Macaca mulatta: one gene and its partners. The protein of the gene in region 4 purifies or fractionates together with the protein of the main gene of each other region. This does not show direct contact. Links are inferred from orthologs where the notes say so. Each region holds a gene or a part of one and is shown on either strand. Other genes may lie near its edges. The genes, in order: HSP90AB1, CAD, FBXO45, LGALS3BP, TUBGCP6, MYCBP2 and CUL7.

Region 1 (4,880 bases), on a different chromosome or scaffold from region 4:
AGTAGAGGGACCCTGGGAGTCACTAAAGCCACTTCCCTGTTGATATAATGTACACACTGGCTTTCATCCGCTCACAGGACAGTGAGAGTTTGTGAATGCTCTCTGTGAACTGGGGAGCAGATTTTTAATGACGTAGGTCCCTCTGCTTAGAAGGAGAGAGTATGTTAAGGGATCACGCTCCCTCTGGTTTGCGGTTTTGGTCAGGAATAGAGCACCCAATGCCCCTTCTTATAGACTTCTCCCAGCCATAGGCTTTTTGCAGACCATAATGAAAGGGAGAAAGGATATAAAATCGGGATGATGATGGCAGGCATGGAGAAGTTGACAGGGACAAGGAAGAGGAAAGCAAGGGACGTCCTTTTTCTTTGGTATTCAACACATGAACAAAGCTTGTTAACGAATGTAGACTGGGTAACAACAGGGCTGGTGAGGGAGGACGACGTGGGTGGCTGTGGGGAAACTCTTCCCAAGCATCCTAGGGGTGGGCCAGGAAGGGGACTAGATGGACATCTACAGGGCACAGAGCAGGGAGCGGCTATTCTCTCCTGGAGGGGCTGTGGGTCCAGCAGGCTTTCGGATGACGCCTTGGAAAGGCAAGGACAGCTTGCCGACTGGAGGGCAGGCAAAAGGGCGGAGACAGGCCAGAGACGGCGGCCGCAGTTCACTGACCAGGAGTATGGCCTAGGGGTTCTGGTGCCAAGGCTGAAGGGGAACAACTTGGCCAGCCGCTCTCTGGCCGGCGTCTTCACGCGGCCTCCAAGAGCTCCTGTTGCCCTGCAGTGGCTCCTAGAGACTCCCTCCTTCCCACGTCCAAATAGCTGCAGGAGGGAAGTGGGAGAAAAAAAGCGAACCAGCTTGAGAAAGGGCTTGACGTGCCTGCGTAGGGAGGGCGCATGTCCCCGTGCTCCGTGTACGTGGCGGCCGCAGGGGCTGGAGGGGGTCCCTCCCGTAGCGACTCCAGTCTCAGAGTGCAAAACGGTACGCCCGCAGAGTCGCCCCAGGTGCTTGGGTGTTGTGTGATTGACGCGGGGAAGGAGGGGTCAGCCGATCCCTCCCCAACGCTCCATCCCATCCCTGAGGATTGGGCTAGTACTCGCGTCGTCTCCGACAGGTCAGAGCCGGTCCCCGGGTGGGGTCGCTGCAAAAACCCTGCTCTGGCCGCAGCCGGAGAGGCGGAGCCCCGCGGGGAGGGGGCGGGCGGGGGCGGGACCGCCGAGACAGGCCTGGAAACTGCTGGAAAGCCGCAGCGCCGCCGCGCCTTCCGCCGCATGCCGGCAAAGAGTCCCGCCGGCCCCGGCCGGCGCCCTCCCCCCACGCTGAGATACCCCACACTGCGAACCCTCCGCCCTTCCTCTGCTCCTGGGAGAGTCAGGATCTGGGGCTAACCAAGGTCGGGTCCCGAATGCCAGTCCCTCTGTCGGGATGCGAAATGTGTAGGGCATATGCTAGGAAGAAGATTGGGTATGGGAGCAGCGGTCGGAGTGGTTAGCTGCCTCGGCTCTTTTTAGGTGTTTCCCCCGGGCTCTGTCCTTGGGTGTGGGGACTCCTGCCTCACAGGTTTTTAGGGAGGTCAATGGATTCCTCGCCCGTAGAGACACCGTATATGCCAAATGAGCACTCCTTATCCCAGCTCTTGATGGGGTCAGGTCCTAGACATGAAGATATGGGGCTGTGATCACAAGCAAACGTGTGGGTGGATCCGTTGCTTGGGTTCTTCCCCGCCCCCTCCTTTTTTCGGACCATGACGTCAAGGTGGGCTGGTGGCGGCAGGTGCGGACTTGACAAGCATGCTCCTTTAAGGCGGAGGGATCCACGGGAGGGCGGCTGTTCTGTGCTTCGCCTTATATAGGGAGACTTGGGGCACGCAGTAGCTCTCTCTAGTCACTCCGGCGCAGCGTTTTGTGCCTGGTAGTCATCAGAAAGCAAGCCCACGTTCTTCTCTAATACGTGTAAGCCTTTTCTTTTCAAGGTAAGGCTGAATTCTTCGTTAGGCTTCTTTAGTGCTCTTTCGTGTTGCTCTTGTTTTTTTCTGTCCTTTAGGGAGCCTAGATACCGGGGTGGCTTGTGGATAACGCCCTGGATTTTTATAGGGTGAGGGTAGTGGTAGGTGAGGGCTCTTGAGTTTTCCTCGGTTTTCTCTAGTGTGCTTGGGCGGTGGGGCTTTCTCTTGGCTCCTCCTAGCCGTAGCGAGGTGGGCTGTGGGGCTGGGGCAGTGCGCGGCGGGCAGCTGCACGTGGTGGCCGCGCGGCCCGGGACGCTGCCATTTTTGCCCCTCCACTTCCGGACGCGGCTATAGGGCGTCGGAGGGGGACCGCAGGATGGCGGGGGTGCCTGCTCGGGTGACTCAGCACGGCCCTGTGGGACTGGCTTTGCCACATCTCTTATCGGACGCGTTGTTAAAGCCGCCTTGGGTGCTTTGTTTCTGTGAGGGTTCATGGTGTGGGAGGAGCGCTTTCGGTCTCCAGCACCCCATACTCCCTCCTTCCAGATCTTTATTGCAGTCCCGGTGGAGGAGGGTTGGGGAGGGGGGCAGGTTCTGGAAGATTCATGGGCTCCCTCCTCCGCCCGTCCTCTAGAGCTGAGATTGTTCTGGAAGCTTCTGGATTCTGGCGCCCCGCCCCAGTGCCCGGATGCTGGGGCGAAGGAGGGTGCACGGCGGCGCCCCCTCCTCGCGTGGTCCCTGCCGACGCATGTCCGGCAGTGACGAGTGTCGGCCTGGTGGTTACGGCCACCATCTTCCTTCTGTTGGGTTTGGGCCTGTTCTGTAATTTTGTCCTGTGAAGGGGTCGTAGTGGAGCTTTTGGCTTATCGATTCTTTGTCCGGATTTAATTGCCCCTCGGGCGGGTATCCTCTGGATCCCAGGTTATTCCTCCCTGCAGTGTAGGGTAGGAGTGTCCCGCCCTTGGGCTGGTCTTAGGAAGACATCTCAGGGGGAGCAGTTTAAAGTTAGTGCCAAACTAGTTACTTTGATCTCCAAATGAAGAACTGTAGGTAGCGATTTTCACATTTAAATTTGTGTAAGGATTATCTGGGATCTCTGGATACCTGGGTTGGACCAGCATTATGAGTTTCTGCCATACTACCGGATGACGCTGAGACTGCTGGTCACCACTCTAAGTAGCTGGGTTCTGTGACATTTGGTTGAAGAACATTCAGCTTATTTTCTTTTTCCTTCTGAATTTTCAGGCTTCCCACTTAGTGTGTAGCCTGAGATCTTTTAAGAGAATGCTTTTTCGGTCTTTTCGGAAGGGATAGTACTCAGGTCAAACCAGTCTCAACTCTTAAGGTCCTAACAAATGAGATGACCTTTAGGATTTTAAAATGTGAGGCCTTCATGTTTTGTAATTAATGATCATTTTTATTTTAGATGCCTGAGGAAGTGCACCATGGAGAGGAGGAGGTGGAGACTTTTGCCTTTCAGGCAGAAATTGCCCAACTCATGTCCCTCATCATCAATACCTTCTATTCCAACAAGGAGATTTTCCTTCGGGAGTTGATCTCTAATGCTTCTGATGTAAGTGCTGTGGTTTCTATATTTGGTGTGTTTATTTTTTTGACACTCTTCGTAGAGAGGAAAGGAGTGGTTTGGCCTTTGTTGGGGACTACTATTGAAGGGGGTAAACTTGCAACTATTCCAAAAAGATTTGTCTTATTCTCTGGCCATCTTGAACTTGAAAGGGAAGTGACTATGTCCAGAAAAAGTGGGCTCATGTAACTAACTGTAGTTCTAAAGCCTCAAGATAAGGGGCAATCAGATTTGAGGCTGAGAGAGGTAAACCAAGATTTTCTTTGAAGACACGGGCTTTAAGAAAGCAAAAGTGACCGAGCGTGTTGACTCACACCTGTAACGCCAAGGCAGGAGGATCACTTGAGCCTAGGATTTCGAGGGCAACCTGGGCAACAGCCAGACCTTGTCTCTGCAAAAAATTAAATATTAGTTGAGCACAGTGGCATGTGCCTGTAGTCCCAGCTACTTGGGAGGCTGGGGTGGAGGATGGCTTGAACCAGGGAGGTCAAGGCTGCAGTGAGCTGTCATCCTTGCTACTACTGCACTGTAGCTTGGGCAACAGAGCAATTGCCTGTCTCGGAGAGAGCAAAAGTAAGTTGCTGTTTGTATTCGTTTCAGGCCTTGGACAAGATTCGCTATGAGAGCTTAACAGACCCTTCGAAGTTGGACAGTGGTAAAGAGCTGAAAATTGACATCATCCCCAACCCTCAGGAACGTACCCTGACTTTGGTAGACACAGGCATTGGGATGACCAAAGCTGATCTCATAAATAATTTGGGAACCATTGCCAAGTCTGGTACTAAAGCATTTATGGAGGCTCTTCAGGTACTGCAGTTCTGTAGGCATACACCATTCATATTCATCAGTGTTCTTTATTTTTTTTGCTGCTTTAAATTTTGTGTTTGACTTTACAAAAACTTGTTGGCAGGCTGGTGCAGACATCTCCATGATTGGACAGTTTGGTGTTGGCTTTTATTCTGCCTACCTGGTGGCAGAGAAAGTGGTTGTGATCACAAAGCACAACGATGATGAACAGTATGCTTGGGAGTCTTCTGCTGGAGGTTCCTTCACTGTGCGGGCTGACCATGGTAAGTTAGCTTTTCTGTTACAAGGTAGCTGGGTTAGAGTTTTGTGGGCTCACCAGTAGCAGAAATTTTGAGCATCCTGTCAAGCAGTTCTTCATAGCAGTTCCGCTAATACTTTATTAATTTGGTGAAGTCTCAACTGCATATACTTTCGTCCTGTTACACGCTTATGATTGACTCTTCTAGGTGAGCCCATTGGCAGAGGTACCAAAGTGATCCTCCATCTTAAAGAAGATCAGACAGAATACTTGGAAGAGAGGCGGGTCAAAGAAGTAGTGAAGAAGCA
Region 2 (2,862 bases), on a different chromosome or scaffold from region 4:
TTTCTGGAGGCAGAGCCTTTAGCTCAGAGTGACACCAGTGTTGGAAACGTCAAGGCTCTGACAGGTCACAGGGAAGGTTTAGGTGCAGAAGGGTCCTCACAGCGTCCCTCAAATATCACTTGGGGTGGTGGTGCCCACCTGTGGTTCCCCCAGGGTGGACACACATACGTGCACCTTCCACCTTGCTCTCTCCCCAGGGGAAGGTCATGGCCTCCATGTTCTATGAAGTGAGCACACGGACCAGCAGCTCCTTTGCAGCAGCCATGGCCCGGCTGGGAGGTGCTGTGCTCAGCTTCTCGGAAGCCACATCGTCTGTCCAGAAGGGCGAATCCCTGGCTGACTCCGTGCAGACCATGAGCTGCTATGCTGATGTCGTCGTGCTCCGGCACCCCCAGCCTGGAGCAGTGGAGGTGAGGCCAGCCTGGGTACTGAGATGGGGTTAAGAAGGCTGGACCCAGGGACTTGAGAACCCTTCTACCCACATTTTCTGTGACTGCAAGTCTCAGGTTGGGCCAGATGAGTGAGGGGACCCCGGAAGAGTGGGACTGACAGTTGGGGGGCCTCTGAGCTGCAAAAGACAGGATTTTCCCCTTTTTTCCAGCTGGCCGCCAAGCACTGCCGGAGGCCAGTGATCAATGCTGGGGATGGGGTCGGAGAGCACCCCACCCAGGCCCTGCTGGACATCTTCACCATCCGTGAGGAGCTGGGAACTGTCAATGGCATGACGGTGAGGGTGGTGGCAGGGGTTGGGGCCCTGCCAGGGGACGATCTAGAGAGGGAGGCAGGAAGTGGTTACCCTGGTCCAGGACAGCTGCATCAAGGAGGCCTTCATTCTGCTCCAGGGACTTTTAAAAGCTTGGAAATGATGTAGCGGGGGGTGGGGGGGAACCCAGTCTGGGATCCCTGTGGTGACTGGGTTCCTCCCCTAGATCACAATGGTGGGTGACCTGAAGCACGGACGCACAGTACATTCCCTGGCCTGCCTGCTCACCCAGTATCGTGTCAGCCTGCGCTACGTGGCACCTCCCAGCCTGCGCATGCCACCCACTGTGCGGGCCTTTGTGGCCTCCCGCGGCACCAAGCAGGTGAGACCCTCACAGCCCAGCCTGGAGGCCATGGAGACGTGGGTTGGGCAGTCAGAGCCCAGTGCTGCATCCACCATGGCTCTCCTCACCCTCCAGGAGGAATTCGAGAGCATTGAGGAGGCACTGCCTGACACTGATGTGCTTTACATGACTCGAATCCAGAAGGAACGATTTGGCTCTACCCAGGAGTATGAAGCTGTGAGTGCTGGGCTTGAGGAAGAAGCCAGGGCTGCTGCCATAGGGCATCAGATATGAGGACAGAAAGGCTGGGCTGAGGGCTGGGTCAGAGCTATTAAACCTCATGTCCGTTAGTTGCCATAGCTGCATGTGGATGTGGAGGGGGCCACAGTGGAGTCCAGACTTGTGTCCTCTGTAGCCACTCCTACCCCAAGGCACTAACGGGGACCCCATCTGCCTTGCAGTGCTTTGGCCAGTTCATCCTCACTCCCCACATCATGACCCGGGCCAAGAAGAAGATGGTGGTGATGCACCCGATGCCCCGTGTCAACGAGATAAGGTGGTGCAGCATCAGAGTTGGAGACTGCCTCGGGTCTGGTGGAGGGGAGGAGACTTAGTCCTGGACAAGCCATCCATGGCCTGCACGATAACTTCCTTTTTTTTTTATTGCAGCGTGGAAGTGGACTCGGACCCCCGCGCAGCCTACTTCCGCCAGGCTGAGAATGGCATGTACATCCGCATGGCTCTGTTAGCCACCGTGCTGGGCCGTTTCTAGGGCCTGGCTTCCTCAGCCTCTTCTCTTTAGGCCCAGCTGCTGGGCAAGGAATTCCAGTGCCCCCTACGGGGGCAGCACACTTAGATATTCTTGGACATCCAGATAGCTCACATGTGCTGACCACACTTCAGGCTCTGGATTGGAGCTCTCTGGCATGGGGGTGGGGCCTCAGATGCTGGGGCCCAGTCTGCCCTATCTTCATTCCTGCACCTTAAACCTGTACAGTCATTTTTCTACTGACTTAATAAACAGCTGAGCTGCCCCTTGATGCTGAGTGTAGTAGAACGGAGCTTTCTTTTAGAAAAATTGGCCGGGCGCAGTGGCTCAAGCCTGTAATCCCAGCACTTTGGGAGGCCGAGATGGGCGGATCACGAGGTCAGGAGATCGAGACCATCCTGGCTAACACAGTGAAACCCCGTCTCTACTAAAAAAATACAAAAAACTAGCTGGGCGAGGTGGCGGGCACCTGTAGTCCCAGCTACTCGGGAGGCTGAGGCAGGAGAATGATGTGAACCCGGGAAGCGGAGCTTGCAGTGAGCTGAGATCTGGCCACTGTACTCCAACCCGGGTGACAGAGTGAGACTCCGTCTCAAAAAAAAAAAAAAAGAAAAATTGAGCAGATTCCCAAATGATAAGAGCAGCCTCACCAGGCAGGGCTCTGGCTAGGGCAGTGTGCCCACACTCGGCATTTTCACACTCGTGGCTCTTTGGGACTCAGCGGGAGCATGTTACTCTGTGCTGAGTCCTGTGTCGTGCTAATGCCAGAGCTTACCTGGAGGCTCTGGCTGGTGTCCCAGTCCTTCTTCCTCAATTCTGTTGACTCAAAGACTTGACAGAGTTCTGCCCTCTTTCTGACACTGGGAAAACACTCAACAGGGTGAAAGGAAGGCTGAGCACTGCGGCCTGTCTGAAGCCGGGCCTTGACTCTTCCCCATTCTTAGTGGTTAGTCCTCCTCCAGTGGCTAAGGCTGCCATTGCATTCTCAAAACCACCCTAGAGTTCCCCAGCCACTGTCACTATTAGGAGCCCCTCCCACTTCCCAAC
Region 3 (4,194 bases), on a different chromosome or scaffold from region 4:
CTACTTGGGAGGCTGAGATGGGAGATCACTCGAGCCCAGGAGTTCAAGGCTGCAGTGTGCTACGATTGTACCACTGCACTCCCAGTCTGGGTGACAGCGACCTTGTCTAAAAAAAATTTAAAATACACAAACTAAAAGTTTAAAATTGTTCATGAGAAATTGTTATTGTTTGTATGAAAGAGCTATTTTCATACCCTCTTTATTTTGGAAGTGTAAACTTTTGTTTTTGCTGAAGAGTCAACTAAGTTGTCTTATTGATAGCTTCTCTTTATAAATTCTAGTTACTTGAATCTAGATGCTATCTAGGGGATTATTTGATTTGGTAAAATGAGATTGGTGATTTTTTGTTTATTGTGTAAGTCATACCTGGCAAGCAGGCTGAGGATCTAAAGTAGTTTGTGTTTACTAAAATTTTTCATAAACTTTAGAGTTGCTATGATTAAAGTTTCTATTTTATGTAAAATATAATTATTTTTGATGACAGCATTGCCCATATGAAAACTATGTCTCAACTTTTTGATATAAAAATATCAAATATAAACAAAAGTAGAGAAAATAGTTTGATGAACTTCCTTATACGTATCACCAAGCTTTGCCAATGATTAATTTATGGCCAGTCTAGTTTCATATTTATATTGCACACTTTCCCACTCTATCTCTGGATATTTCAAAGCAATTCCCCCAGATATCATTATTTTATCCATAAACGTTTCAGTATTATCTCTAAGATATAAGGTTTTTTTTTTTTTTTTTTTTTTTGGTATCTTTTGATGTTTTAAGAAGTCTGTTTGAGGAAATACTACAATTTAAAATTTTGGTCAGTGATGAAACGTTTGGCAGTTACTTTTAATGTTATTTATTCTGTTAGTATCCCATCCTGAAACTTTAGCCATTATTTGGAAATACTTGTGTTTTTTAAAATATATAAGTTCATTATTTAAAAACATACATCCTGAAGTTTTTAATATTTAAGAAAAATAACGTTATTTATTTGGTCTATTTTTCATCTTTTTAGATACGTGCTTTTCAACATGCCTTCAGCACTAATGACTGCTCCAGGAATGTCTACATTAAGAAGAATGGCTTTACTTTACATCGAAACCCCATTGCTCAGAGCACTGATGGTGCAAGGACCAAGATTGGTTTCAGTGAGGGCCGCCATGCATGGGAGGTGTGGTGGGAGGGCCCTCTGGGCACTGTGGCAGTGATTGGAATTGCCACGAAACGGGCCCCCATGCAGTGCCAAGGTTATGTGGCATTGCTGGGCAGTGATGACCAGAGCTGGGGCTGGAATCTGGTGGACAATAATCTACTACATAATGGAGAAGTCAATGGCAGTTTTCCACAGTGCAACAATGCACCAAAATATCAGGTGAGAAACGGGTTTTTCTCAAGTATGGGCCTTTGTCAAATCATGCTTTAATTTGTTTTAAATTTACAAATTTTCGTATAGCAGTTTTGTTTTGTCTTTTTGGTAATTTTTATTATTTTTTATTTTTTCAAATACCAAGACTTCAAGTTTTTTTTTTTTTTTTTTTTTTAAATGTTAGGAGGTTATAGTTAATTTTGTTGGGTGTTATATTTTGATTTTGGCTATGCAGGAAAATATTCTTTTTTTTTTTTTTTTTTTTGAGACGGAGTCTCGCGCTGTGTCACCCAGGCTGGAGTGCAGTGGCGCGATCTCGGCTCACTGCAAGCTCCGCCTCCCAGGTTCACGCCATTCTCCTGCCTCAGCCTCCGAGTAGCTGGGACTACAGGCGCCCGCCACCACGCCCGGCTAGTTTTTTGTATTTTTAGTAGAGACGGGGTTTCACCATGTTAGCCAGGATGGTCTTGATCTCCTGACCTCGTGATCCACCCGCCTCGGCCTCCCAAAGTGCTGGGATTACAGGCTTGAGCCACCGCGCCCGGCCTTTTTTTTTTTTTTTAAGAATCTCGCTCTGTCACCCAGGCTGCAGTGCAGTGGTGTGACCTCAGCTCACTGCAACCTCCGCCTCCCAGGTTCAAGCAATTCTCTGCCTCAGCCTCCCGAGTAGTTGAGATTACAGGCACCTGCCACCATGCCCAGCTAATTTTTGTATTTTTCATAGAGATGGGGTTTAACCATCTTGGCCAGGCTGGTCTTGAACTCCTGACCTCGTGATTCACCCGCCTTGGCCTCCCAAAGTGCTGGAATTACAGGCGTGAGCCACCACGCCCGGCCTCAAGGAGATTTTTTGACAGTTTTTAAATAAATATGTAAATGATCTTTCTCAATATGTGTTTCCTAATACAAGTTTAAGCAGCCTATCTTTGCTCCAGATCAGGGGTTGGCAAACCTTTTGGTAACGGCCAGGCAGTAATATTTTAAGCTTTGCAGTCCGTATGGTCTCTGTCACAACTTTTTTTTTTTAATGTCATTTTCAAGGTAAGGATCTGTCACAACTTGCAACTCTATAGTACAAAAGCAGTCATCGATAATACGTAAACGAATGAACGTGGCCGTATTCCACAGACCTTGTTTGTGGGCTGCGGGACAGATTGGGTCCAGGGGCCGTAGTTTGCCAGTTCATGCTCTGTATCAAGCTTGTCCACCCCACAGCCTGCAGGTAGCCACGATGGCTTTGATTGCCACCCAATGCAAATTCATAAACTTTCTTAAAACATTGTGAGAGTTTTTTGCAATTTTTTGTTTTTAAAGGTGATTGCTGTCTTTAGTGTTAGTATATTTTATGTGTGGTCCAAAACAATTCTTCCGTTGTGGTCCAGGGAAGCCAAAAGATTGAATACCCCTGCTCTAGATGGTCATCTTTCCTATATCATGGCACTTCCACATCTTTTTCTAGGCTCCTTACCCCAGTAAGTACATCTCTGTGGATGCACATGCACCATACCCTCCGCCTGCGGATTCAGAGCCCCTGGAGGCATCAGTGATTTCTGTAGAGACAGGCAGATTCAGGCAAACTGCTGTATTTTTTATTCTTTTCATCTTAGGCTTAAGGCATACTCATTTGACTCAAGTTAAAATTATAGTCCTATTTGTAAAAGCCATATTTATTACTATAGACCCAGCAGGGTGTAATATATAATAATCTGATAAGAAATTGGAAGTCTTTAAAGAACTATAGGCTGCATATTTCAGAGCCACATGTGGCGTGAAAGTTCCAGCCTCGGTAATGACCTCAAGTCAGGCATACTGAACCAAAGAACCAAAACTACATCCTATTTCCTGAGGTATAAAAGCTGGAAGGATTTTTTTTTCATAGAATGTTTCCTCACTATCCTTTTAGGCTCTGCAGATACTATAAGGAGAAGGGTGTGTAGACTTTATCACTAAAAAGAAAGTCCTATCACTTACCCTTGTGATGATTTTGTAAGTGAAAGCCCTTACTTAAGTCTATGTTTTTCAGAGAACATGCTTATGGTTTCAGTCCTTTTAAATTTATTGAGATTTGTTTTATTCTAATATGTGGTCTTTCTTGATGAGTGTCCCATGTGTGCTTGAAAAAATGTATATTCTTTTGTTGAATGGAATATTTTGTAAATGAGAATTAGGTGAAGTCGATTGATAATATTTAAGTCTTATATAGTGTTACTGATTTTTTTTTACCCCTTCTATCATTACTGAAAGGAGTATTGAAATCTCCATCTATGCTTACCAATTTGTCTCTTTCCTCTTTTAGTTCTGTCAGTGTTTGCTTCATGTATTTTGGAGCTCTGTTACTACTGGTGCATATACATTTCTAATTGTTATATCTCCCTGCCTGATTTATTCTTTTATTATGAAATGACCTCCTTTGACTCTAGTAATCCTCTGTCAGTCTGTCTTTGTATTTAAAGTGGAGCTCCTACACAGCATATTGTTGGATCTTGATTTTTATCTAACCCAGTCTCTGTCTCTGACTTTTTTTTTTGAGATGGAGTTTCACTCTTGTTGCCCAGGCTGGAGTGCAATGGCATGATCTCGGCTCACCGCAACCTCCGCCTCCCGGGTCCCGGTTCAAGCAGTTCTCCTGCCTCAGCCTCCTGGGTAGCTGGGATTACAGGCATGCGCCACCTCACCCAGCTAATTTTTGTATTTTTAGTAGAGACAGGGTTTCACCATGTTGGCCAGACTGGTCTCGAACTTCTGACCTCGTGATCCGCCCACCTCAGCCTCCCAAAGTCATGAGATTACAAGCGTGAACCACCATGCCCAGTGAGACGGGGTTTCTC
Region 4 (3,724 bases):
CAGCCAGCTTCCCCCAACCCAGCCCGGTGTGGAGGGAACCCAGGCTGCTCTATGGGTTGGAGCCCCTGGATCTGAGTTTCTTGTGTTTCTTCCGTGCCAAGGTGGTTCTTCCTGGGCTTGCACGGGACAGCCTGGGCACTTCCTGCCTACCGCCCTTTGCCAGGAGCTGGAGGCCCCTAAGGCAGGAGGGGTCGAATCCCAGGGAGCCCCTGTGCCCACATGGGATGGACAAATGACTGGAGCTAAGCCTGGACTCACAGTGCGGGAAGCCCACGAGATGCCATGGGGCTGTCGGGGGCCGGGGGAGGCCAGGCGGAGCATGCGGGGCTGTGGGTGCCGGGCAAAAGCTCCTGGGGCAGGAGAGCTGTGGTGAGGCGTGCAGGTGGGAGGCAGCTGGGGGTCCTGCAGTGGTTCAGGTTTTAGGAGGCCCAGGGCAAGCCCACCTGGTTGAAAGGTCATGGTTACTTCAAATCTATTATATTTGTGACAAAGAAAAAACTATGGGATTTCGTTTTGAGTTAGGCTTTGAGAGGGGCTCAAAGAAGGGGGGAGGGTATACCACACTGACCCCTGACCCGGGAGCCTCCCATGACTTCTGCAGGTCTTGTCCCCCACAGGAGGCTGCTCGAGGACCCCCAGAGTTCTAAAATGGGGTTGCCACAGGACCCTCACTTTTCAGGCCATCTAAGCAGGCAGTGGTTTTGGTTTGAGAAGGGCAGTGTCATTGGTGGTTGATGACTGAGGCTGGGGAGTGGGGCTCCAGAGTCAGCACCACCAAGTCTCCCTGCAGAGCTGCTGCCTGAATCGGGGGAGCAGCACAGAGCAGAGGGCCTAAAGCGGGGGCCTGGACAGGCTTGGCCAGGTCCCAGCTGCTCTTGTTCCCCAGGGCTGGAAGGGGTGGGGCCTCACGGCCCAGGGATCCGACACTTTCGGTCTCTCCTGTCCCTTATCTTCCCAGGAGCCTTCCAGAGTGGATGAGGCAGCCACGAACCCCCCACTTTCAGATGAAGACGCTGCCCCCAGAGAGTGGCAGCGTCCCGGCTCCTAACGTAGCCTGCTTCCCTCCCGCCCCTTCTTAGAAACCAGGAGCACCCACACCCTGGACCTCTCCAGGGAGCTCTCGGAAGTCCTTGGCCAGATTTTTGACAGCCAGCAGGGCTGCGACCTGTCCATCAGTGTGAGTGTGCAGGGCGAGGACGCCCTGGGCTTCTGTGGCCACACGATCATCCTGACTGCCAACCTGGAGGCCCAGGCCCTGTGGAAGGAGCCAGGCAGCAATGTCACCATGAGTGTGGATGCCGAGTGTGTGCCCATGGTCAGGGACTTTCTCAGGTGAGCCGTCTCGTCCTCAGGCTCTGGGGCTGCCAGGGGCTTTGTCCTCCTCCCTGCTTCAAAAGCACACCCACACACACGCACACCTGCACACACTCTTGCATGCACATGTACCGTTGTCACACGTGCGCTCGCGCAGTTGCACACACACGCATGCTCGCTCCCACGCTGTGCACACTCGGGTGGCTGTGTTGGACAGGCAGGCTCAGGGCTCCCCTGCTGTCCTGTGGGGCTGGCATCCACTCTCCCTCTTTCTCCCCAGGTACTTCTACTCCCGAAGGATCGACATCGCCCTGTCGTCGGTCAAGTGCTTCCACAAGCTGGCGTCTGCCTATGGGGCCAAGCAGCTGCAGGGCTACTGTGCAAGCCTCTTTGCCATCCTCCTCCCCCAGGACCCCTCGTTCCAGACGCCCCTGGACCTGTATGCCTATGCACTAGCCACAGGGGACACCCTGCTGGAGAAGCTCTGCCTGCAGTTCCTGGCCTGGAACTTCGAGGCCCTGACACAGGCCGAGGCCTGGCCCAGTGTCCCCACAGACGTGCTCCAGCTGCTGCTGCCCAGGAGCGACCTGGTGGTGCCCAGCGAGCTGGCCGTACTGAAGGCCGTGGACACCTGGAGCTGGGGGGAGCGCGCCTCCCATGAGGAGGTGGAGGGCTTGGTGGAGAAGGTCCGCTTCCCTATGATGCTCCCTGAGGAGCTCTTTGAGCTACAGTTCAACCTGACCCTGTACTGGAGCCACAAGGCCCTGTTCCAGAGGAAGACTCTGCAGGCTCTGGAATTCCACACGGTGCCCTTCCAGTTGCTGGCCCGGTACAAAGGCCTGAACCTCACCGAAGATGCCTACAAGCCCCGGATTTACACCTCGCCCACCTGGAGCGCCTCTGTGACGGACAGTTCCTGGAGTGCACGGAAGTCACAGCTGGTCTATCAGTCCAGACAGGGACCTTTGGTCAAATATTCTAATTACTTCCAAGCCCCCTCTGACTACAGATACTACCCCTACCAGTCCTTCCAGACCCCACAACACCCCAGCTTCCTCTTCCAGGACAAGAGGGTGTCCTGGTCCCTGGTCTACCTCCCCACCATTCAGAGCTGCTGGAACTACGGCTTCTCCTGCTCGTCCGACGAGCTCCCCATCCTGGGCCTCACCAAGTCTGGCGGCTCAGATCGCAGCATTGCCTACGAAAACAAAGCCCTGATGCTCTGCGAAGGGCTCTTTGTGGCAGACGCCACCGATTTCGAGGGCCGGAAGGCTGCGATTCCCAGTGCCCTGGACACCAACAGCTCCAAGAGCACCTCCTTCTTCCCCTGCCCAGCAGGGCACTTCAACAGTTTCCGCACGGTCATCCGCCCCTTCTACCTGACCAATTCCTCGGGTGTGGACTAGATGGCGTGGCCCAAGGGTGGTAAGAACCCGAGAACCCCAGGACGCCCTCACTGCAGGCTCCCCTCCTTGGCTTCCTTCTTCTCTGCAACCACCATCAACAACCGTCCACCAGATGTCCCCCTACTCCCCTGAGCTCTCAGCTTCAAGAAGACTTCCACTCGTGTCCGCCAGGAGTTCTCCCACTGCCTCACCAGGTTCCAGGTGGTAAGCACCAGGGCGTCCTCGAGGTCGCTCTGGGGTCCCCCCACAGCCCCTGGTCAGTCTGCCCTTGTCACTGGTCTGAGGTCATTAAAATGACATTGTGGTTCCTACATTTGTTTGTACAGAAAGTGTTGTTGGGTCTATACCGTGTTTAGACATCAGGTGTGCCAGGCTCTGGGGGGCAGGGAATGAGGCAGAGTCCCTGTCCTTGTGAAGCTACTGGCTAGCGGGGAAGATGGAACAGGAAGCACACCTCCCAGCCCGGAGCAATGACACAGTGGGACACGAGCAGGAGGGTGCGCGTCACTGCACACGTGCACGTGGGTGTGTGATTGTGTGGGCATAGGCGTGTGTGTGTTCATGAAAGTCTGGCTGTGACGGGTGCCCTCACCCCTTATCTGGATGGGTGTGCTTTATTTTATTTTATTTATTTATTTTTGAGACGGAATCTTTTTTTTTTTTTTTTTTTTTGAGACGGAGTCTCGCTCTGTCGCCCAGGCTGGAGTGCAGTGGCCGGATCTCAGCTCACTGCAAGCTCTGCCTCCCGGGTTTACACCATTCTCCTGCCTCAGCCTCCTGAGTAGCTGGGACTACAGGCGCCCGCCACCTCGCCCGGCTAGTTTTTTGTATTTTTTAGTAGAGACGTGGTTTCACTGTGTTAGCCAGGATGGTCTCGATCTCCTGACCTCGTGATCCGCCCATCTTGGCCTCCCAAAGTGCTGGGATTACAGGCTTGAGCCACCACGCCCGGCCAAGACGGAATCTTGTTCTGTCGCCCAGGCTGGGGCGTAGTGGTGCGATCT
Region 5 (4,194 bases), on a different chromosome or scaffold from region 4:
CCCAGGGACACGCTCAGTCGCCCCCTTTCCTGGAACCCGCCAGGCTGACACACTCGGCAGGGACGCACAACTCACGGTGGGAAACGCAGCCCTGGGGCCTCCTCCGCAGGTGCCTGGGAGCACAGCACCAACGCCACAGAGCTCGGCCAGGTACCTAGACCCAGAGGCAGGATCAGACCAGGTGACCGGGCTCAGGGTCCCCAGGCCTGGATCAGATCATGAGCAAAATCTCCATGTATCTTCATGCTCCGTGGAGCAACTGACTTCAGATGCAGTCTTTAAAAACCACATGCACCCCAGCGACCCAGAAATGGGCTCCCTGGAGGACTTGTGCCCAGCCCTGGGCCTCTGCACTGTCCACACAGACCCACTGAAGTACCCACACCCAACAGGCCCCTCCCTCCCAGGCTCTGGCCAACACACTAATCACCCTGATCCTCCCACTTCCGGGGGCTGCACCTGAGAGCCCCTCCCATCCACACAGTGGCACCAAGCACCTGCCACAACTCGCGCCTTCACAGCCCAGGCTCCCCTGCCCCACGGTGTCTCAGCCCTTGGGTCTCCTCAGGGCTGCCACATTCTGCTCCTCTGCCTGGAAGGTCGCCTCTCCCACTGCTCCCAACGCCCAACTCCTCACTCTTCCTCGTCTGACAGCACTTGCCAGTAGCTCCCCAGCCTGGTTGCTCAGTAACCAGCTTGTGTGTACCAGAAGCCACATCCCTAGGGACCCTGTGTGCCAATTAGGCAGGAGCCACCAGGCCTGGAGGGCCTGGATGGGGCCAGCTGTGGTAGGCCCATGGGAGACACACCCACTCTGCCTGGCACCTGGTGAACTCGGCCAGCCAAGGGCCATCCAGTCACCTGCTGAGGGCTGTTCTCACAGGCCCTCCTTGCCAGGAAGCAGAGCAAACCCTCCATCACCCAGCAGGCTCCATGCCACTCCTGCAAAGTCCCCTGCTCAGTCACCATGCTGAGGCTCACCTGAGCTGCCGGCCCAGTTTCTTGAAGAGAAAACCAATGGTGAGGAGGCTCAGGGTGGGCGAAGTGGAAAGGACGCAGGCCCGGTAATACTGCAGGTACCTCCTCAGGCCACTGGTGAAGGCCTGTGGGCAAAGAGGCTGGGAGGAGGGCGGCCAAGCACATGGACGCAGCTGTGACCAGGGCCTGAGGGGCACCAGTACTGGGCACAGCGCTTTGTTTCCTGCCTCAGCTCTGGGCTCCATTTCCAAGCAATGGGCCTCTGTGAGCCACGTCCCACCACTGGACCAGGTGGAAATGTGGCCCCCCCCACCAACCCTTCCTCTCATCTGAGACCAGCTGCCCCAGGGGCGTGGCATAGGGGTTGAGGGGTGAGGGGGGAAATGGCGGCTGCGCTCTGTGCACAGACACTAGTGCTGTGAGAGCTGCGTCTGCTCGGACCACAGTGGTCTCAGTGGCACCAGCATCCTGGGCAATGCCACAGCAGCAGGCCCTGCAGGTCACACCAAGACAGGCGCACCCTGGACCAATCTCAGTCCACCCACCCCAGAACCCTCCTGGCCACGCCTGCCAGATGAGTGGGAACCACAGTCCAGCCCTTCTCAGTGTCCCTGCTCTGCCCCCTTCTCCACCATCTGCAGCCCTCAAGTCCCCCAGGCCTGAGCCTCTGCCTAGAAGCTCTCCCCGTCCCATGCAGCTCCCACCATGCCCACCTCCGCAGCCCGTCTAAAACCTAAACCTCACCACATCACCCCACCCTACAGCCCCTGCTGTGGCAGCAACAGTTGAAGGAGGCTGCGCCGCCTGGCTCCTCCAGTGCTCTCTGCCCACCTTCCGAACACCCTCCTCTCAGCCCCCAAATTACCCATCATCCGCCTGCCTATTCTCTCCCAATCAAGGTGCAGCCTCTGTCCCATGGGTCTCTACTCAGCATATGAGCCAGCTTCAAGACTCACCAAAGAGCGGCTTCCGGAGCCAGACTTGGCTCAGAACGCCCAGCAGTGTAAATTCACCCAACACGAGGGCCGGGCAGTGTCAGTCATCCGCAATGTGCCGGGCCCACTGGGGAGCAGGCGGCAAGAGCCCCACTAACGCCTTTCCTGCCTCGCATGCCCCGAATGCTGGCTGCACCTGCCTCCCACACACCCCAGGGCCCACACGCATCTGCCCCAGGTTTCCAGTGAGGTAAAACATCTTCACTGACCCATCCCTCATGAGCCACTATTGGGTTTCAGATGTTAGCAAGGAAAGAAAAGGTTTAGACTGTCTGGTCCTGCAGAAGGACTTCTGAGATTCTCTTTTCCAGGTCGTGTGCACCGTTCTCACAAGGATGTGTGACAGCCACGAGGCAGAGGCCGTACCTGGAACACGAGGCCCTTGCTGTACGAAGAGTCCAGGACCGGCTGCAGAGAGAAGTGACTCAGGCGCGTGTAGCAGGTCCCATACTCGGCCACCTCCGAGAGCAGGCTGCTGATGCTCTCGGGAGACGCTCCCGACACGTGGACACCCCGCTTCACCACAAAGGCCTGGGCCGGCTGCACAGGGGTAGAGGACACTGCTCAGAGGCCAGGCACCCAGACCCCCAGGAAGGTGCCATCTCCTTCCACCCTTGCACCCAACCCCACACCACCTAGAGTGCCCCCAGGACCCAAAAGCAAACACCCAGAAGGCGCACCCAGAACTCCTACACTGAGGGACAAAAACGTACAAACCAAAACAAGGCACAAATTCTCACCACACTGAAAAATACATGTTTAAAATGCCAAGTGTAGAAAAGGGTAGGAAACAACAGAACACCTTCCACAGGACACAAGTACACAGACAGCCTCCTAGGGCAGAAGCTATAAAACATGTTTGCCGTGAGACCCGCTCATTCAACTCTTCGGGATGAAAGAGCGGAAACGATGGAAGATGCACAAAGACTTGCCACAGCACATTCCCCGCAATGTGTTTGTAACCAGAGAGTGGAGACCCCCAGTAGAGGGCTCATGACAACCGAAACGAACGGGGTGCAGCAGAAGCCAGGAGGGAGGTTACAGCTGCAAATACGCACGTTAGAAAGGAAAAGAGATATCCCACATTACAAGGAAACAAGATACTAAATCACAACAGCACTGTGTATATCCTAAAGAGATATTTTAAAAAGAGCTGTTAGGCCAAGCACAGTGGCTCACACATATAATCCCAGCACTTTGGGAGGCTGAGGCAGGAGGATCACTTGAGCCCAGGAGTCTGAGACCAGCCTGGGCAACATAGCGAGACCCCCATCTCTACAAAAATTTTAAGTTAGGCCAGGCATGGTGGCTTACGCCTGTAATCCCAGCACTTCAGGAGGCCGAGGCGGGTGCATCACTTCAGGTCAGGAGTTCGTGATAAGCCTGGCCAACATGGCAAAGCCCCGTCTCTACTAAAAACACAAAAATTAGCCGGGCATGGTGGTGTGCACCTGTAGTCCCAGCTACTCAGGAGGCTGAGGCAAGAGAATCGTTGAATGTGGGAGGCAGAGGTTGCAGTGAGCTGAGATTGTGCCACTGCACTCCAGCCTAGGCGACAGAGTGAGACTCCGTCTCAAAAAAAAAAAAAAAAAAAAAACACACAGACATCTCTAGGCTGGGTGTGGTGGCTCTTGCCTCTAATTCCCGCACTTTGGGAGGCCCAGGCCAGCGCATCACGAGGTCAGGAGATCAAGACCATCCTGGCCAACATGATGAAACCCTGTCTCTACTAAAAATACAAAAAGTTAGCTGGGCGTGGTGCTGCACACCTGTAGTCCCAGCTACTCAGGAGGCTGAGGCAGAAGAATCATTGAATGTGGGAGGCGGAGGTTGCAGCGAGCTGAGATGGCGCCACTGCACTCCAGCCTGGGCAACAGAGCAAGACTCCGTCTCAAAAAAAAAAAAGACAAAAAAAATTTAAAATTAGCTGGGCGTGGTGGTGCAGGCCTGCTGGTCCCAGCTACTCAGGAGGCTGCGGCAGGAGGATCGATTTGAGCACAGGAGGTTGAGGCTGCAGTGAGTCATGTTTGAACCACTGCACTCCAGCCTGGGTGATCCTGTCTCAAAAAACAAAACAAAACAAAACAGGCTGGGTGCAGTGGCTCACATCTGTAATCCCAGCACTTTGGGAGGCGGAAGCAAGTGGATCACTTGAGGTGAGGAGTTTGAGACCAGCCTCACCGACATGGTGAAAACCCCATCTCTACTGAAAACAAAAACT
Region 6 (4,897 bases), on a different chromosome or scaffold from region 4:
AGGATATGATTCCTATCCTCAATAAACTCCCAGTCTTTGTATTTACAAGTACTTACCTCCACTCCTTCTATATTAACTGCTCCTTTTTTCAATGGCTAACCTCCCCACCTGCCACCTTTACTCTGTCCCTGAGATCCCTTTGACCTTTTCCTATCAATTATCCCCTCTCACTTCTTCACTCTGTCTCTCCATTTAGCCTCCCACATTTGCATATCCCACCCAACCTCCTATATTTGAATATCCTTCCCTCAACTTTGAAATCCCCTTGAGTTACCAAAAACACATTCCATTCACTCCTCACCACATCCCTCTATTCTCACCACTTCCTCAAAAGTTATCAATCACCTGAACACTGTTCTCACTTTCTTCAACATTTACCACTTCTGAGAATTTTCAATCCACTCTCCTAGAGCCACAGAGGCTACTGTCTCATGATTTTCTTCTTAATTTTGATTTTGTTTCCTTCACTGTCTCCTTTCTCTCACACTTTTAAACCTGATGCTCACTAGAGCGTCATTCTCTATTCTTCCTCCATTCAGTCTAAATGATCTCATCTTCTCCTCTAACTCAACTAGTGTCCCTATACAAATAATTCTATCATTCATTCAGAGTTGAAACCCCAGTTCTACTTTCCCCAACATCTTTAATAAGAAATGTGATTTAATTCTTAATCAAATCATCAATAGAGTAGTTGCAGGCTACTTTTTGTAATAAAATAATGTGCACTTTAATAAACAATAATGTGTTGAACAAGCATTAGCAGGCAATATCATAATGTAAGGCTGATTTCCATGAGTAGTTCTTGAAATACTTGAACTAATTCTTCATTACTTTTCATTGACAGCTTGTACAAAAATGGACCAAAGGCTAAAAATTCATTCACAAATATTATGTGATTAATCTATGTTAATTTTGTCTAAAACTGTTAATATAGTTCTAGATACACAGAAATCATATTACACTAGTAGTAGAAAGTCAAAACAGGAATATACCAGTCACAAATTATTAAGTCTGGAAACCATACACAAAATAAATCTAAATTCTTTAAGAGGAGTTTGTAAAGATGTTCCTGCGGTGCCATAATTTAGAGATCTACAGATCAAAATTATACCTAATTATCAGAGCAAATTGTCTCATGTGGTTTTGTGCTATTTTCAAAAACATTAGCAAAAACAAACTTGCACCATTCTGGCCTTCAGTTCAGATAGCAAAAAGTAGTTACATACGTTTACATCCATATGGTAAAACTACTCCTGTGCCCAATCCTGTAAACAATCACAGACATGAAAAGACTGGTTAACCTAGAAAAAGCGTGAACAAAGCTCCATCTTTACAACTCTCTCCAACAGATAAGCCATAATACATAGTGATAAACTACAAATACCTGACTTACTGCCTCCTCCCTTTCATAATGGCAGAAAAAGACATCTAACAATTGCCTAGTAAGTTGCACATTCAAAAAATAACAGTAAACTCTTTAACTCATTTTGACAGTTTCCTACTATGTTTTCCCCATGTACTGCAAGAAGCTGTGGGAAAAAAAGATGAAGCCAACTCCCAATTACCACTGTCAAAGCTGGTGGAACAAGTCAGTCACCATCCTGCAGGGTATGCGGCATGCAAGGGCATGGAAAAGAAAACAATAGGAGAGTCCTCAGCAAAAAAAAAAAAAAAAAAAAAAAAAAAAAGCACCCACATTTTAACAAAAAGAAAATGAAACTAACTGAACATCTACATCAAGGAAGCTGAAGGTGTAGTGAGCCTAAGTAAAAGGGAGAGATCTACGCGCTATTCAGATTTTCTAGCTAGTGGCCGTTGAACGCTGTACCAGCTGTCATATTCTGAAGTTCTGCAGTTTTCCCCTTTTCCCTACAAAACCCTCTCTACTCTAAAGCCCGTAAGTAACAGAGGAAATCGAACAGAGGATGAAGAGAAATGGCCGATGGGACATCAGATCACAAGAGTAACTGCAACCTCATTTCGAGAAGACCAAACGGCCCCGTTATCAAAGTACAGCTCTAAAAATCTCTATCAGACACCCTTCGCATCTACATAGATCTCCGTCTTTTGCGTCTCTTATCCATAAATCTTTTCAAACCAGACCTCACGCCTATCCCTCGGGCCTGCCTATCCAAAGCTCAACCAATCTATACCATGACTCGTGAAAGGCAGATTGAAGGGAGGTGGAAAGGGCTGGAAGGAATGTCATGGGAGAGGGGGCACGTGCGAATAACATTGCGGCAGAGACACTGAAAATGCCACTTCCTTTGCCACTCTTGCCATTCTCTTCGTGTATCATCCTCTTACCCTCTCTACCCATGCCACCTCCTACCTCAATGATACACACACGTGTCACAGCCGACCAGCACCATCGCCTTTTCCAGGATCACAGGCTCCCCTGCCACTCCTCACTATCCCCCACATAGGCGCGCGCGCGCGCGCGCACACACACACACTTAGAGCAGAAACTGCAGCCACCGCACCCTCCTATCTCGATAAGCGCTCCTACCAGCCGACATCCAGAGCGGGTTGAAAGCTCAGTAAATGCGCAAGTACACACACGCACGCACACACACACGCGGGTGCACGCGCGGCATGGGGAGCAAGGAAGGGCACCCTGGGGACGCACCTGGAGGCTGGGTGTCCAGCGCTGCCGCCCCCCTGGTCCCTGTCATTGAGCGCAGCTGTATAAATCCTCCGGTAGCGGTCGGCCAGGGCCCGGCCTGACAGCAGCAGCTGGTAGTGACCCCGGGAGTCCGCAGCGGGTAGCCCCAACCCCAGCCCTGCAGCAGCCACGGAGCCGTCGGGAACCGGCATGAACAGCGCCCCCGGCGCCGGGGAGGAAGAGAAGGTGGCGGCTGGGTAGAATCCGTCCCCGCCGAGCCCCGAGGAGGCGGCGGCGGGGGAGGCAGTCGCTGCGCACATCATCATCCTCGCCGCCGCCGCCGCCGCCGCCGCCTCGTCCCCGCGGGCCGGGCGGGCAGACACGCGCGCGCACACACAGCCCTTTTCCAACGACGACGGCTCCGGCGGCGGCCTCTGGCTCCCGCAGCAGGGAGACTACAAAGACAGCGACCTTCTTCTCCTCCTCCTTCTTCTCCTCCTCCCCCCCGCGCCGCCCTCGCCGCTACTGGGGCCGCTCATCTAACCCCGCCACCCCGGGAGTGTGAGGAGGAGGCGGTGCCGCCACTGCCGCCGCCACCACCGCTACCACCGCCGGGGCTACCCGCAATGGGAAGCTGCCGGCCTCACAGAGCATGCGCCACTCCTCGCACATGCTCAGTAACTGCAGCCCCCTTTCCTCCCCACCCCCTCTCCGCCACCACTCCCTCCGCCTCGGGGCTTTGGGTTTGGGGCGGTTGGGTGGTGCGGAATCCGAAGCAATCCACTTCTCCGGGTTTTACTGGCAGCTTAAGGAAGAGTAAGGAAAGTGCCGGGGAGGCTATCAGCTGCTGGCGTCTGACTTCAGGTTCCCTCCAGGTGGAAGAACAAGGACCAGAAAGCAAGAGGGAACGTGCCCATCGACCAAGGAGGAGTGACACGCACTCCTGCTACCTCCTCCCCAAGGCTCTGCTGCCAACAGGAAGATTTCCTGTGCACTGTGCTGGTTAATTCAGAGTTTAAGACAGAGAAAACCATCCCAATTAGAAGTGCCTTTAGAGATCTTATTTTAGATGGTTTCTGTCATTAGGATTTAAGCTTGTTTAACATAGCTTTTACTTACAAAGAGAGGTAGTAATCTAGCACATTCTTTTGTGTGTGAAAGTAGAATTAACAGATAGGCTAGTATTTATAAGCCAGAATCATTCCCAAATTCTTCTTCTCAACAGAGCAATAATATTTTTTAAATTACTCTTTTTGTTGACTCCTCACTCACCTAAGAGTGCATTTTTATCTCTTGGCAGTGGCCATTTACTTGTTTATTTTTTTCTGCCCAAACTTACATTTTTAAAGATAATTCTTGAATGTGATCTGCAACAATAATTGTGACTGAGACTGTATAGCATCTGAAAATGTCAGATCCCTCACAGATCTTATTATCTATAAAGGAACATGTGCTCAGTCCTTTGTTCCAAACTAACCTATGAACCCCGTCTAAGTGTATGCTCTAGAAATATACGTGCCAATGCACCTTGATTCCTACTACCTTTTTATCCTTTGACTCTCAATTAGTTGCCTAATTTATAGTCCTGACAAAATAATTTATAAGTTCTATCATCCCCGTACTGTATCTTTCATCTATGTACTAGTTCTTATATCTGTGCCTCTTCTTTGGATGGCCTTCTCTTAAAAAAAAAAAAAATTTAAAAAAATCCTCCTTAGTGTTTGAGAAGTGCAAACAACAGGGAATAAGAAAGTAAAGTAATTCGAGTTTTAGGGTTGAAGGTTGCTGAAAGCAATGCATTTTTTCTGAAGCTTTAAATAATAGATGGATTTCATTTAAATTTTTTTAAAGATAATTAACAGTGGGATAAACATAGGAACAAAGGACAGACATGTGGAATCATAGCATTTTAGTACTGTAATTAGTCCTGTTAAGTTTTTGTTACTTGTCTTGTCTCCTTACCTATCTTAAGTTCCTTCAGAGCTTGTTGTTTTTGTGTCTTCTTCAGCCACTTCAGGACTTTGCACGTACTAGGTATCCAGTAAGTATTTATTAGACTAAATTTCTATCCTAATGCTTCAGCACAGTTCAAGACCTCAGTGTTGACCAGGCAGCCCCTCACCCTGGAGTGAGAGCCAAGACAATGGTGTAGAGGCAGCTAAATTCTAAGAATTCTAAGGCCTGACAGGTAAGCAATGAGAGGGCCCATTACTATTGCAAGACCTAGCAGGGTAGCTAAAAGGTTCTGAAATCAGACAGCCCTGGAATTGGATCCTGATTCTGCTACTTAAT
Region 7 (4,194 bases), on a different chromosome or scaffold from region 4:
AAGGTACCTTGTTACCCACTCCCTTATCATTCTTTTCATATCTTTTTTTTTTTGAGACAGAGTTTCGCTCTTGTTACCCAGGCTACAGTGCAATGGCGCGATCTCAGCTCACCGCAACCTCTGCCTCCCGGGTTCAAGCAATTCTCTTGCCTCAGCCTCCTGAGTAGCTGGGATTACAGGCATGTGCCACCATGCCTGGCTTATTTTATTTTATTTTATTTTATTTTTTTGAGACAGTGTTTCGCTCTTATTGCCTAGGCTGGAGTGCAATGGCGCAATCTCAGCTCACTGCAACCTCCGCCTCCAGGGTTAAGCAGTTCTCCTGCATCAGCCTCCCAAATAGCTGGGATTACAGGCATGGGCCACCATGCCCGGCTAATTTTGGATTTTTAGTAGAGATGGGGTTTCTCCATGTTGGTCAGGCTGGTCTTGAACCCCAACCTCAGGTGATCCACCTGCCTCAGTCTCACAAAGTGCTAGGATTACAGGCGTGAGCCACCGCGCCCGACCCACACCTAGCTGATTTTATATTTTTTAGTAGAGATGGAGTTTCTCCATGTTGTGAGGCTGATCTCGGAAACTCCTGACCTCAGGTGATCCGCCCACCTCAGCCTCCCAAAGTGCTGGGATTATAGGCATGTGCCACCGCGCCTGGCCTTTTCTATTTTTTTTAATGTTTATTATTTTTATTTATTATTATTATTTTTTTGAGATGGAGTCTCACTCTATCGCCCAGGCTGGAGTGCAGTGGTGTGATCTCGGCTCACTGCAAACTCCTCCTCCCAGGTTCATGCCATTCTCTGGCCTCAGCCTCCCAAGTAGCTGGGATTACAGGCACCCGCCACCACGTCTGGCTTATTTTTGTATTTTTAGTAGAGACGGGGTTTCACCGTGTTAGCCAGGATGGTCTCAATCTCCTGACCTTATGATCTGCCCACGTCGGCCTCCCAAAGTACTGGGATTACAGGTGTAAGCCACTGTGCCCAGCTTGTTTATTTATTATTTTTAAAGATGACCAGGCCGGGCTCAAACTCCTCTCATTTCAACCTCCCAAAGTGCTGGGATTATAGGCATAAACCACCCTACCTGGCCCCTCCCTTGTATCATTTCGTCCAGTTGCTCTATCTCTACACTCCTGTTCAGCCCAACCTCTCCCACTTCCCTGCAGACATGGCTGTGCCTTGGTTTGTTTTTCTCACCCTCTAGATGAGGATGGCGTTAGCCCCCTGGGTTGGCTGCTGGAGCAGTACCTGGAGTGTCAGGAAGCTGTCTTCAACCCCCAGAGCCGCGGCCCAGCTTTCTTCTCGCGGGTGCGCCGTCTCACTCACCTGCTGGTGCATGTCGAGCCCTGCGAGGCACCCCCTCCTGTGGCGGCCACTCCTCGGCCCAGTGAGTAGTGGGGATTCAGGTGGGGAGCTTCTAGTCAGGAGCATTTTCCTGGGCCCCACGTGTACACCATAGACTTCTGTCCATCCCCATCCTTCCCCTCCTGTTGGCTCAGCCTGTTCATCTTCCAGGTTTGTGTCACCTCCATCCATGAACATCACTTTGGGTGGCAGCATGTCAGGAAAGGCCTCAGGGCACCCCCTTGGATAGCGACTGGAGTGGAGGGGCTGCCCACTCCTTGCCTCTGCCACTTTCTTGATCTCCACAGAGGGCAGAAACAGAAGCCACGACTGGAGCTCCTTGGCTACCCGGGGCCTTCCAAGCAGCATCATGAGAAACCTGACGCGCTGTTGGCAAGCCGTGGTGGAGAAGCAGGTGGGCAGGAGCGGGCCTGGGGGAGAGAGGGGACACCAAAATGGTGGCATGTTGGGTTGTGTCTTCATGCTCCTGCCCCTTCCTTCCAGGTGAACAATTTTCTGACCTCATCCTGGCGGGATGATGACTTTGTGCCACGCTACTGTGAGCAATTTAATATTCTGCAGAACTCGAGCTCTGAACTGTTTGGGCCGCGGGCAGCCTTCTTGCTGGCGCTGCAGAATGGCTGTGCGGGAGCCTTGCTGAAGCTCCCTTTTCTCAAAGCTGCCCATGTAAGCCTCCACCCTTGCTGCATCCTTGGGTCTCTTCCTACAAACTCTTCCTTCCTCGCCTCCTCCAAATGACCCACCCTTCCATTCCCATTCTATGATGAACATATGTTAGTATATAGCCATGTTATAAGAAGCTTAAAAAATTGGCTGGGTGTAGTGGCTCACGCCTGTAATCCCAGCACTTTGGGAGGCCAAGGTGGGTGGATCACAAGGTCAGGAGATCGAGACCCTCCTGGCTAACATGGTGAAACCCTGTCTCTACTAAAAATATAAAAAATCAGCTGGGTGTGGTGGCACACACCTGAAGTCCCAGCTACTCAGGAGGGCAAGACAGGAGAATCGCTTGAACCTGGGAGGCGGAGGTTGCAGTGAGCCAAGATCATGCCACTGCACTCCAGCTTGGGTGACAGAACAAGACTCGGTCTCAAAAAAAAAAAGTTTAAAAAATAAATAGTGGCCAGGTGTGGTGGCTCACGCTTGTAATCCCAGCACTTTGGGAGGCTGAGGCAGGCAGATCACCTGAGGTCAGGAGTTTGAGGCCAGCCTGGCCAACATGACCAACATGACCAAACCCTATCTCTACTAAAATTACAAAAATTAGCCAGGCATGGTGGCACATGCCTGTAGTCCCAGCTACTTGGGAGGCTGAGGCAGGAGAATTGTTTGAACCCAGGAGGTGGAGGTTGCAGTTAGCCGAGATTGCACCACTGCACTCCAGCCTGGGTGACAGAGCTAGACTCATCTCAAAAACAAAACAAAACAAAAACCACAATTGATGAACTAAAATGCAAGCAGCACCCTGGAAAGCAGGGTAAAGAGCAGCAGGAGCATGAGGCTCCTTGTGTAGCCTCCAGTCCTAGTTTATCAGTAACTAGGCTCAATCTTGGCTCAGCACAACCTCCACCTCCCGGGTTCAAGCAATTCTTCTGCCTCAGCCTCCCAAGTAGCTGGGATTATAGGCACAGGCCACCACAAAAATTAGCCTGGCCAATTTTTGTATTTTTAATAGAGACAAGAGTTTCACCACGTTGGTCAGGCTGGTCTCGAACTCCTGACCTCGTGATCTACCCACCTCGGCTTCCCAAAGTGCTAGGATTACAGGCATGAGCCACCACTCCTTTCCCTTCCCCTTTCCTTCCTTCTTTTTCTCTCTCTCCTTTCTTTTTTTTTTTTTTCTCTCCCTCTCTTTTTCTTTCTCTTTCTTTCCTTCTTTCTTGACAGGGTCTTACTCTCTCCCAGACTGGGGTGCAGTGGTGCAGTCACAGCTCACTGCAGCTTCAACTTCTTGGGCTCAGGTGGTCCTCTCAGCCTCCTGGGTAGCTAGGACCATAGGCATGTGCCACCATGCCCAGCTAATTTTTTTCGTATTTTTAGTAGAGATGGGGTTTTGCCATGTTGCCCAGGCTGGTCTCCAACTCCTGGGCTCAAGCCATCTGCCTGTCTCGGCCTCCCAAAGTGCTGGAATTACAGGCGTGAAGTGCGCCTGGCCTTATTTTCTCATTTTGAATGATTATTATTAGTTTGAATTTTTAGACACAATGAAAAGACACTTTCCATAATTGTTAATATTGCTAATTTGTACAATGGTTAATGATCGTATATAATAGTTGTATGAAAGCACCAACCACCTTAGGAAGCTGCCAGCATTCATATCTACTTTCCAGACCCTCGTCCCTCCTCCCCACTCACCTGCTCTGCTTGCTTGTTCATGGCTTTCCTGTGCTCTGCCATTGCTCAGGTGAGTGAGCAGTTCGCCCGGCACATTGACCAGCAGATCCAGGGCAGCCGGATTGGTGGAGCCCAGGAAATGGAGAGGCTGGCACAGCTGCAGCAGTGCCTGCAAGCTGTCCTGATTTTCTCCGGCCTGGAGATAGCCACCACCTTTGAGCATTATTACCAGTGAGTGTGGACCTAAGGAGCGGGAGCTGGCGGGAGGCAGGATGATGGTGGAAGAGCCAGCTCATGGGCCTGGAAGTCTGGGATAGAGCCAGGCTGGAGCCTTGGAGTGGGAGGCTGGGCCACACTGGTGCCCACACTGAGGCTTGGCCCGGGCTGCATGCACTGTAGGCACTACATGGCGGACCGTCTCCTGGGCGTGGTCTCGAGCTGGCTGGAGGGGGCCGTGCTGGAGCAGATTGGTCCCTGCTTCCCCAACCGCCTC

What was found.
Region 1: the proteins of LGALS3BP (region 4) and HSP90AB1 purify together in Homo sapiens (affinity purification with mass spectrometry; 3 studies listed by BioGRID and IntAct, with this or other methods). This does not show direct contact. The link is inferred for Macaca mulatta from reciprocal best matches to the Homo sapiens genes LGALS3BP and HSP90AB1.
Region 2: the proteins of LGALS3BP (region 4) and CAD purify together in Homo sapiens (co-immunoprecipitation; 3 studies listed by BioGRID and IntAct, with this or other methods). This does not show direct contact. The link is inferred for Macaca mulatta from reciprocal best matches to the Homo sapiens genes LGALS3BP and CAD.
Region 3: the proteins of LGALS3BP (region 4) and FBXO45 purify together in Homo sapiens (co-immunoprecipitation; 3 studies listed by BioGRID and IntAct, counting the BioPlex papers as one, with this or other methods). This does not show direct contact. The link is inferred for Macaca mulatta from reciprocal best matches to the Homo sapiens genes LGALS3BP and FBXO45.
Region 5: the proteins of LGALS3BP (region 4) and TUBGCP6 purify together in Homo sapiens (co-immunoprecipitation; 4 studies listed by BioGRID and IntAct, counting the BioPlex papers as one, with this or other methods). This does not show direct contact. The link is inferred for Macaca mulatta from reciprocal best matches to the Homo sapiens genes LGALS3BP and TUBGCP6.
Region 6: the proteins of LGALS3BP (region 4) and MYCBP2 purify together in Homo sapiens (co-immunoprecipitation; 3 studies listed by BioGRID and IntAct, counting the BioPlex papers as one, with this or other methods). This does not show direct contact. The link is inferred for Macaca mulatta from reciprocal best matches to the Homo sapiens genes LGALS3BP and MYCBP2.
Region 7: the proteins of LGALS3BP (region 4) and CUL7 purify together in Homo sapiens (affinity purification with mass spectrometry; 3 studies listed by BioGRID and IntAct, with this or other methods). This does not show direct contact. The link is inferred for Macaca mulatta from reciprocal best matches to the Homo sapiens genes LGALS3BP and CUL7.

The regions. Positions count from the first base shown.
Region 1 is NC_133409.1:137,866,680-137,871,559, reverse strand, and holds the start of HSP90AB1 (heat shock protein HSP 90-beta), read left to right. Parts: upstream 1-1,869; 5' UTR 1,870-1,969; intron 1,970-3,368; coding exon 3,369-3,515; intron 3,516-4,127; coding exon 4,128-4,334; intron 4,335-4,437; coding exon 4,438-4,597; intron 4,598-4,780; coding exon 4,781-4,880. UniProt on the Homo sapiens protein: Molecular chaperone that promotes the maturation, structural maintenance and proper regulation of specific target proteins involved for instance in cell cycle control and signal transduction. Undergoes a functional cycle linked to its ATPase activity.
Region 2 is NC_133418.1:97,742,858-97,745,719, reverse strand, and holds the end of CAD (multifunctional protein CAD), read left to right. Parts: intron 1-197; coding exon 198-410; intron 411-601; coding exon 602-727; intron 728-929; coding exon 930-1,085; intron 1,086-1,181; coding exon 1,182-1,283; intron 1,284-1,507; coding exon 1,508-1,602; intron 1,603-1,715; coding exon 1,716-1,818; 3' UTR 1,819-2,092; downstream 2,093-2,862. UniProt on the Homo sapiens protein: Multifunctional protein that encodes the first 3 enzymatic activities of the de novo pyrimidine pathway: carbamoylphosphate synthetase (CPSase; EC 6.3.5.5), aspartate transcarbamylase (ATCase; EC 2.1.3.2) and dihydroorotase (DHOase; EC 3.5.2.3).
Region 3 is NC_133407.1:2,111,960-2,116,153, forward strand, and holds part of FBXO45 (F-box/SPRY domain-containing protein 1), read left to right. Parts: intron 1-1,015; coding exon 1,016-1,372; intron 1,373-4,194. UniProt on the Homo sapiens protein: Component of E3 ubiquitin ligase complex consisting of FBXO45, MYCBP2 and SKP1. Functions in substrate recognition but also plays an important role in assembly of the complex.
Region 4 is NC_133421.1:88,655,468-88,659,191, reverse strand, and holds the end of LGALS3BP (galectin-3-binding protein), read left to right. Parts: intron 1-1,079; coding exon 1,080-1,332; intron 1,333-1,594; coding exon 1,595-2,720; 3' UTR 2,721-3,031; downstream 3,032-3,724.
Region 5 is NC_133415.1:1,217,171-1,221,364, reverse strand, and holds part of TUBGCP6 (gamma-tubulin complex component 6), read right to left. Parts: intron 3,091-4,194; exon of another isoform or gene 2,514-3,090; coding exon 2,340-2,513; exon of another isoform or gene 2,285-2,339; intron 2,164-2,284; exon of another isoform or gene 1,878-2,163; intron 1,104-1,877; coding exon 982-1,103; exon of another isoform or gene 884-981; intron 155-883; coding exon 76-154; exon of another isoform or gene 44-75; intron 1-43. UniProt on the Homo sapiens protein: Component of the gamma-tubulin ring complex (gTuRC) which mediates microtubule nucleation.
Region 6 is NC_133422.1:72,122,440-72,127,336, forward strand, and holds the start of MYCBP2 (E3 ubiquitin-protein ligase MYCBP2), read right to left. Parts: upstream 3,234-4,897; 5' UTR 3,145-3,233; coding exon of another isoform or gene 3,061-3,144; 5' UTR 2,932-3,060; coding exon 2,630-2,931; intron 1-2,629. Other genes in the region: uncharacterized protein LOC144336168, read right to left, coding at 3,061-3,144. UniProt on the Homo sapiens protein: Atypical E3 ubiquitin-protein ligase which specifically mediates ubiquitination of threonine and serine residues on target proteins, instead of ubiquitinating lysine residues.
Region 7 is NC_133409.1:139,085,478-139,089,671, forward strand, and holds part of CUL7 (cullin-7), read left to right. Parts: intron 1-1,206; coding exon 1,207-1,389; intron 1,390-1,654; coding exon 1,655-1,761; intron 1,762-1,850; coding exon 1,851-2,033; intron 2,034-3,771; coding exon 3,772-3,932; intron 3,933-4,100; coding exon 4,101-4,194. UniProt on the Homo sapiens protein: Core component of the 3M and Cul7-RING(FBXW8) complexes, which mediate the ubiquitination and subsequent proteasomal degradation of target proteins. Core component of the 3M complex, a complex required to regulate microtubule dynamics and genome integrity.